Linked DNA regions of Cricetulus griseus. The protein of the gene in region 1 purifies or fractionates together with the protein of each later gene. This does not show direct contact. Links are inferred from orthologs where the notes say so. Each region holds a gene or a part of one and is shown in the gene's direction. Other genes may lie near its edges.

Region 1 (4,388 bases):
TGTTCTGATGTCCTTCGCTGATTACAGGCTATTTTTAAAGCCTGTGTGGGTGCATCTTTTGAATCTGAGCCCAGTTCTTTCTAAACTTTTGTTACTCACCTCTGATTCATTTGTCGTTTCTCTCTTTTTTCCCCGTCTGTTGCCTCTATCATTGCTGCAGGGGTGTGTGTGGGGGGGTGCGGGGGCTGAATCATAGCTACTCGGAGGGAAAGCAATTCAAAGTAGTCCTTGGAGAAGGCAGGGTTTCTTTCTCTTTTTTGGACAGTTCTCACTCTGTAGCTCAGGCTGGCCTTGAACTTCTGGAAATATGCCCACCCTACTCTCCAACAGGCTCGGCTTTTTCTTTTCCAGTATCTGACCCACTCTTCTGGGGTTGCTAAGGACAGATGCTGGGCCGCAGAGGAAAAGCAATTCGAACGCGCCCTTGGAGAATGGGTTCTTTTCTCATTGGGGCCCCGTAGCCCGTAGCCTAGGCTGGCCTGGAACCTGTGACCGTCCCTTGCCTGGGCCTTTCCAGTGGGCCCCGCCCTCCCTACACCTCTGTGACATTGGATGTTTCCGCGGGCTGTCAGGGAGGACAGACACCCCATCACAGCTGCTCCCCAGGGAGGGCCGCTCCAGCCAGTCCCGGGAGAGCGCCGGCCGTTCCTTCCGCCTCTCCTGTCCCCAGGCCCAGCGGATCCCTCCCGCGGGCGGCCCCGAAGCCAGAAGCCAGCGAGGGACCGCAGGCAAGGCTACCTCAGAAGGCTCAGGCCCTCAGGCCCCAGCGCCTCCCACAATGCCTCGCTGCGCAGTCCCCTACGGTGTCCGCGGGCGGGGGAGGCGGCTGTAACCCGAGCGGGTGAGGGGCTAACCCTGCTGCTGGCCCGCAGCCCGCGACCCAGAGAAGGGGCGGGGACACCGGCCCTCGGCCCGCCTCCCCGGCCCTCGGCCCGCCCTTCCTGGTCCTCGGCCCCGCCTCCCAGGCCTTTGTCCCGCCCCCAGATCTTCCACCACGCCTCCCAGATCGTCTGCCCCGCCCCTAGACCCTCCGTTCCGTCTCCCTGACCTCTCGCCCCGCCTCCCAGGCCCTCCGCCCCGCCCCTAGACCCTCCGTCCCGCCTCCCAGGCCCTCCGCCCGCCCCTAGACCCTCCGCCCCGCTTCCCAGGCCCCCCGCCTCGCCTCCCAGGCCCCCCCGCCCTAGAACCTCCGTTCCGCCTTCCAGGCCCTCCGCCCCGCCCCTAGACCCTCCGGCCCCGCCTCCCTGGCCATCGGCCCCGCCTCCAGGCCCTCCGCCCCGCCCCCAGGCCCTCCGCCCCGCCTCCTAGGCCTCGCCCCGCCCCTAGGCCCTCGGCCTGCCCTCCGGGCCCGGAGCGGCCTCCCCGGCCCGTGCTCGCCGCCCTCATCCCGCCCCTCTGCGGGGCTCGGCGGGCCCCCGTGGTCCCGCCCTCCCTTCCTCCTCTGCGCCGCTGTGCACCGCCTCCCGCCCCGGCCAGGCCGGCGTGCGCCCTCCCTCGCGTCTCCTCCGCCCGCCGGCTCAGCCCTCCGCGCGCGCCGCCCTGCGGCCCGGGCCTCCTCAGCCCCGGCCCCGCCGCTCGCTCTCCGCCGCCGGGTCGCCGCGGGGCCGCCTGGGCCGCCGCCGCCGCTCAGCCAGGGCCGGGCCGGGCCTCCGCCGCGGGCCGTGCACCCGGGCGGCGGGACGGGCTGCGACGCGCAGTAAGTACAACTTTCCCGGCCCGCGCCCCCGCGGCCCCGCTGTCACCCCGCGCCCGCGCCCCCAAGTTGGCGCTGCCCGCCGGGGTCGCCTCTCCCCGGTGTCCTTGGCGAGCGAGTTTAGAGGCCACTTTTGCGGGGAAGGGAAATGCATGGCCGGCCCTTGGCCGTCCCCTGAGCTCTCAGACGGGAATCGGATGCTCGCCCGGAGGGAGAGCCTTCCCTCTGGAAGGGGAAAGTGGCGGTTGGCAGGCTTCTGCATTTTGTCCGAACCGGGGCCGCCTGGCCTCGTCGCGCAGCCTCCCTCCCTCCGTCCCGGGTGGCCAGCCCCTCCGGGGAACCGAGCCGCCCGCCGGGAGGGGGCTTGCAAAGTTCGCCGCGTCCTGTACCCCGCAAACTCGCCCAGGGCCCGGCCCGGGGAGGCTCAACTTGAGGGGTCGTGGGCTTGGCGTGCGAGGCCGCTGCGGGCGGCCCGGCGGTGGGCGGCGGAGACCGGCTTGCGGCTGGGGTTGCGTCGTCTCTGCACCGCCGAGCCGCCCGCCCGCCCGCCCCGGGTTGCCGGACCACTACTTGGGACATAATTGCAGGTCAGCGATGGTCCTAATCTTCGGAGGTCTAGGAGGAAATATGCGGGGCGCAACACACTTGAGCGTGTGAGGTCAGCCCTGCCAACACATCAAAGCCTGGCGTGAAAAGAAAAAAAAAAAAAAACTCTCCAGCCCGCTGACAGCAGGGACGAACACTTAGGGACTTACCGTAGATTGGGGCGCAGAGATTTTTCATGACATCTGTTTTGTTCCAGGGAAGCATTTAAAACCTAAGAGACCTCTGCTCAGTTGTAGGCTGTATGTGTGTGTGTAGGTGTGTGTGAGGGGGTGTTAAGGTAGTTTTTCTTTTTTAGAAGTCTTTCATCTGTGGTTGCCAGGGGTTTGGATCGTGCTATGGAGGCTAAGAACCGGCAGGTTTCCTGGTGTGTGCTTTTTGTTTTTTGTTTTTTTTAAACCTATCCTTTGCTTGAGGCTGTCCCTAATGTCTGTCAGTTCGCTGCAGGGGGAGGTGCTGGTGAACACAGGAATCAGGGCTCCGGACAAAACTGCACGCTCAGTTTGGGAAGTGGTTTATGCTATATCTTTTTTAGTGGTCATATGAGTGGTTTTTCTGATCTTACTTAAATCCACGGGGAACTTCCCCCAAACCTCAAAGTTACACACGACCGGTACTCCATTTAAGAAGACTGGATGCAGTTTGATAATTCTTCTACCTGTGGGTCTGAAGGGTCAGAGGCAACACAGCGTAATTTGCAATGAAGGTGATTAAATCTTTTCAACAATCAGTCATTTGCCCCTCCCCCTAAGCGTTTTTAGATGGTACTTTCCGAACTAGATTCAATTGGCCATAATGGATGAGATCTTTGTAGGTGATCAAGCCCCTATTCTGGGCTTCTGGTGCTTGGGGGGACGGTAGAGAGTCCCTGTAGGGAGCCAAGCCATGGGACTGTGCACCTAGGAAAGGTTTTCAGTTAGTGTCAGTGTCCTGGAGAGAAACACAGTTACAGAGGTGTCCAAGTCATTTCAGTGGTCACAGTTCCCAGATTGTGCAGGTTTTAGAGATATTTGGAAATTGCAGATTTAAAATCCTATAGGATCGTGGTGTCATTTTTCTTTGCATCTTCTTTGCCTTTTCAATTTTTTTTTTTTTAAGCTTGTGACTCTTAAATTTGGAATCCTTGGTGCTTGGTTTTCATGGCCCTTTGTATTCAGAGGGGTGTATTAGTGCTTGATCTGAATGCCTGGCATTCTGAGAAATGATTAATTCTTCAGAGTATCCTGTTTCTTACTGAGTCTTTTGCTGTTGTATATAATAACTTGGGAGTAAAATTGTTGTTTACTGCAGGATATCATTGTTCTTTTTCCTTGTAGTTAATTTTTGGCAGATGGTTTTGTCAATTTATAAAACGTTGAGAAGGAGCTGGGCGTTGGTGGCGCACGCCTTTAATTCCAGCACTTGAGAGACAGAGGCAGGCGGATCTCTGTGAGTTCGAGGCCAGCCTGGTCTCCAGAGCGAGTGCCAAGATAGGCTCCAAAGCTACACAGAGAAACCCTGTCTCGAAAAACCAAAAAAACAAAAAAACAAAAAAACAAAAAACCAAAACAAAAAAACATTGAGGAGACCCAGATAACTTGCAAGTATTCAAAACTTGGGAGATTTCCTTCTAGGTGGAGGTGAGGTGGGGCTGCCTCATGGAGATGAAACATTAGGAAATGTAAATAATGAGCCAGCTACTCACTTTCCTTGGAGGTTACTTTGTTCCAGTCCTAAGTAGGTTTCGGAATTCCGGAATTCCCGTTCCCTAGTGTTCTGTGGACTGGAAGAGATACCTTTTGTAGCAGCTAGCCAGGCTTGTCAGGGATTTAAGGATGTGCCCTGCTCCTCTGGTTCTGTGATCTGTATTCACAGCCTTTAAAACGCGTTACCACCGCTAACAGGAAAGCTACGAGCAGAGCACCTCCCAAGTGCCGGGCACATCTCTGTCAACAGTGGCAGCATCTCCCATGTCCCCAGAGCTTACTTGGTGGCCGTCCATTGGTCCATTGTAGTGTTTAAACACAACCCCCTACCCTCCTACCCCCACTTCCTTCCTTGAGGGCAGTAACAGTGCCCTCTCTACTCTCCGGTCCTGGTGCACATAGGAAGG
Region 2 (3,811 bases), on another chromosome or scaffold:
TTATATGGCTACATGTTACAGTACAAGGCAAGTCTTGTCAAATATTTAGCCTTCCCAATGTCTGACAATTAGCAGACTCATTTTAAATAATAACAGAAATAATGATATATTAATGAACACATTAAAGAAACAGGGCAGAAAGAAATAGAGAAGAAAGTTTATACCCACAGAGTTACTTCAAGGTTAAATCAATTTTTATTTTTTCTCTTACTTTCCATTTAGCCTCCTTTTAAAAGTGAGGTATATTATACATCTAACTTAAATATTTAAATAATATGAATCTATCCATGCACTAACGAATATATAGGATCTTCATTAAAATGAATGTCTCTACTTTTTAGTAAATACTTTCATGTTTTTCTTTCTCTTCACACCAGCTCTTTGAGTCCTGATGCTGATCCGGTACTTGCTTTTCAACGAGAAGGATTTGGACGCCAGAGTATGTCAGAAAAACGCACAAAGCAATTTTCAGATGCCAGTCAATTGGATTTCGTTAAAACACGAAAATCAAAAAGCATGGATTTAGGTAGTGAGTACAATCTCCATGAATCTTTATCTAAATAAGGCGTGGATGCTGCAGGATGAAACTGATGGTCCCAAACACATATCTGCTTATTTTTACCAATAGAGAAAATAAATTTAAAATGTGGCAATTTGTCAAAAAAAAATAAAATAGTTTTCCACATAGCATGTTGACAATATAAGCAGTATGTTGACGTGTACTTTTATATGAGAAAGGAAGCAAACCCATGCTGTATCCTTGTTGCTTCATTTCAAAATGAAATGTTTTAATCTTTTGTCCATTTGAGGAGCAATTTCCTTTGAGATTCCATTTGGTGGGATTTTTAAGTAGAAAACATTTTGGAGAGAAACCATTATCTCAATCCATGTCTAGTGCTTCGTTGCCAGTGCCCTCCTTGATTGCTCTTCTTGAGGTGCTAATTGATGGAACTTCTTGTGCTTTAACAATTATGGCCTTGAATCAAATTAATAACTTGAGAGATTATATTCTAGAACAAATTTGGGAACAAATGAGAGAAGGAAAATAGCCATAGTTGTTCAGCCAGACACCAATCAGGTAGTCTCTCTCTTTAAATCAAATCTGCCCCCCAAAATAATTCAATTAATACAGGTATAAACTAAATTTTTTTTTAAAAAAACTATTATTAATCAACCATGACTTATGCTGTTTTCTGGTGGCTGTTTGAACCTGAAGACTAAAAGCATTAATTTGTCATAAAAATATATATATATATATATAAAATTAGACAGTGCACTGCCTTGGCTAATGATGATACACTAACATACAAATAACACATGACTGTGAGATGAAATGACTGGCATACTGCATGAAGATACTGCTTATTTTTCTCTTATTTTTGATTATGAATGTTTGCTTGTTGTTTCATTCCCCCCCTTTTTTTTTTGCATGGAATATTGCCTAAGAATTGTGCTCTAACGGTCAAGGCTGGGGGAGGGTTAAAGCATGTCGGGCTTTGGGGACTAACTGGGCTAACCATTATACATTTACCTTTTAACAGTAGCTGACGAGACTAAACTCAATACAGTGGATGACCAGAGAGCAGGTAAGAATGGACAGTTAGACTGTTGCCATAGAAACTATGGTTCAAGGAGCTTATCATGATTATAGAGCTGCCAGTCTTGTTGCATGTAAGCACCAGTATTCCAGTCTCACTCAGATGCTTTCGTTATGGGAAATCGAATTGCAGGGGAAAATATGTTTTTTTTCTGTTATGAGAATTTTATCGGCAATGTGGGTAACATTGGAATGGAATGGACTACCTTTTACCATGTTAAAAAACAACCTTAGAGTTTTTTTGTTTTGTTTTGTTTTGTTTTAGTCTTACTTGCATAGGAATGTTTTTGTGATGATTTTTTTTTATATATATATAAACCAAAATCCAAAGGACACATCTCCTGTTTGGACTCTTACATTCATTAGTCATTATGTTATTTATGTCTTAGTATTTGGAAAGCAGCATCACCTATATCTGTGGTTCTCAATCTATGGGTTGTACCCCTTCAGGGCTCAAACAGCCCTTTCACAAGGTTTGTATATCAGCTATCCTGCATATCAGATATTTATATTATGATTCATAACAGTAGCAAGATTACAGTTATGAAATAGCAAAGAAGTAATGTCGCGGTTGAGGTCACTGCACCATCAGGAACTATATTAGAGGGTCGCAGCATTCGGAAGGTTGAGATCCACGGTCCTCTATGAACACTTTTCACTAAATGACAGCATTTGGCCTTGCTGCTACTGATGCTCGTGTATTTCGTCTGCTATCTCCTGTGTGTTTTTTAAATGCAGAAATTACCTCATTGTTAACCCTGACATTAGTTTGAACTATATGATACATATGGCTTCATTAACTTTTGGAATCTGTTCTAAATTTACTGCTTAATCATTTCATAGAAATAATGGGCTACATGGACTAGCTTTAGCAGCATAGTCTATCTTATTTTTCATATTACTACATGAAAATAATCAGCAGAGTCTGTCAGTGTAATTAAGCAGTGTGCTGTGTGCAGTTGAGCATGCATGATTTATTAGTGTATTTTGGAATCTTGTTTTAATTATTCTAGATCCAGGATAATGTAATTATATCACTTAGCACGTATTAGCTTTAATTTGCCTTTTTAACCTGCTGTAGTAATTAGTTTCAGCCTGTGTGTTCTACATACATGCATAAAGATTATTGTGGATGTACTTGGCGTTACCATATTCTATGAAGTAAATGATATTTTATAAAATTGCATTCAATAAATTATAAGATTGGCTGTGTTTGGAGCAATTAACTATAGCCTCAGATCTTGCTAAGTAGCTATTTTTCTGGTGAAACATAAAATTCATTGAAATTCTGAAGCAGAACTATAGAACAAGTCCTGGTAGTCTACATGTGTACAGTAGCACTCAGTGTTTAGACTTCAGTAGTTTAAAGAAGTAGGCCCTACACTAGGCAGATCTGTGCACCTTCACAGTGTGATGCTGTCTAGTTACGTGAAAATGGGGAGTGCATAATTTTAACAACCAAAAGCTACAATGAGGAAAACAAAATTTACTGTGAGTAAAAAATAACTCACAGACTTTAACTGAAAGTGTTATGTAACTCTCATGATGGTGACTGAGATTTATCATCTATTCAAACCATGTTTTGTGGTTCACCTGTTAGGTCTTAGAGGAGAAGGGCATTTTCTGGTTTTGAGTGTCCACAAATGTCCTATGCCTGCAATTAAATTGGAAAATTTTAATCCCCATTGATACATTCTGTAAACTGTATTCTCCCCGCCCAGTATTAGCCAATGGACAGTTTTCAGTTGAATTGTTTCCTGTTCCTCACTTAAGAGTTGCTTGAATTCTTTGATAGGTTAGCCCACTGCTTTGGACAAGGCATGCAGACATTTTGGTATAGATACATGTCTCACTGTAAGCCAAGTGTTATGAAAACAGAACTCTTTCTTCTTGCCTCTCAAGGAAAATACCGTCATTGTCACATTTTTTTTTTTTTTTTAAAGCACAAGGATATTTATTAGCAGGCAGGAATCAGGTGCACACCTTTAATCTCAGTACTCAGGAGGCAGAGGCAGGTGGATCTCCTTGGTTATAGCTACTGATTTCTGAGTTCTGGCCAAGGCTGCACAATGAGACCCCGCCCCCCCCCCCAAAAATAGGTCTAGGGCTGGGGTGTGGCACCAGAGTGCTCATCTTATATGTGGTAGGCATCAAACCAACAAAACTGCTCTGGGGAAGATAATTCTATGGATAATTTCCTTGACTTTGACTCAT

Evidence for each region.
Region 2: the proteins of Rassf8 (region 1) and Pard3 purify together in Homo sapiens (affinity purification with mass spectrometry; 4 studies listed by BioGRID and IntAct, counting the BioPlex papers as one, with this or other methods). This does not show direct contact. The link is inferred for Cricetulus griseus from reciprocal best matches to the Homo sapiens genes RASSF8 and PARD3.

Annotation. Positions count from the first base shown.
Region 1 is NC_048601.1:3,906,441-3,910,828, reverse strand, and holds the start of Rassf8 (ras association domain-containing protein 8), read left to right. Parts: upstream 1-1,548; 5' UTR 1,549-1,696; intron 1,697-4,388.
Region 2 is NC_048596.1:204,253,539-204,257,349, forward strand, and holds part of Pard3 (partitioning defective 3 homolog), read left to right. Parts: intron 1-377; coding exon 378-529; intron 530-1,541; coding exon 1,542-1,586; intron 1,587-3,811. UniProt on the Homo sapiens protein: Adapter protein involved in asymmetrical cell division and cell polarization processes. Seems to play a central role in the formation of epithelial tight junctions. Targets the phosphatase PTEN to cell junctions.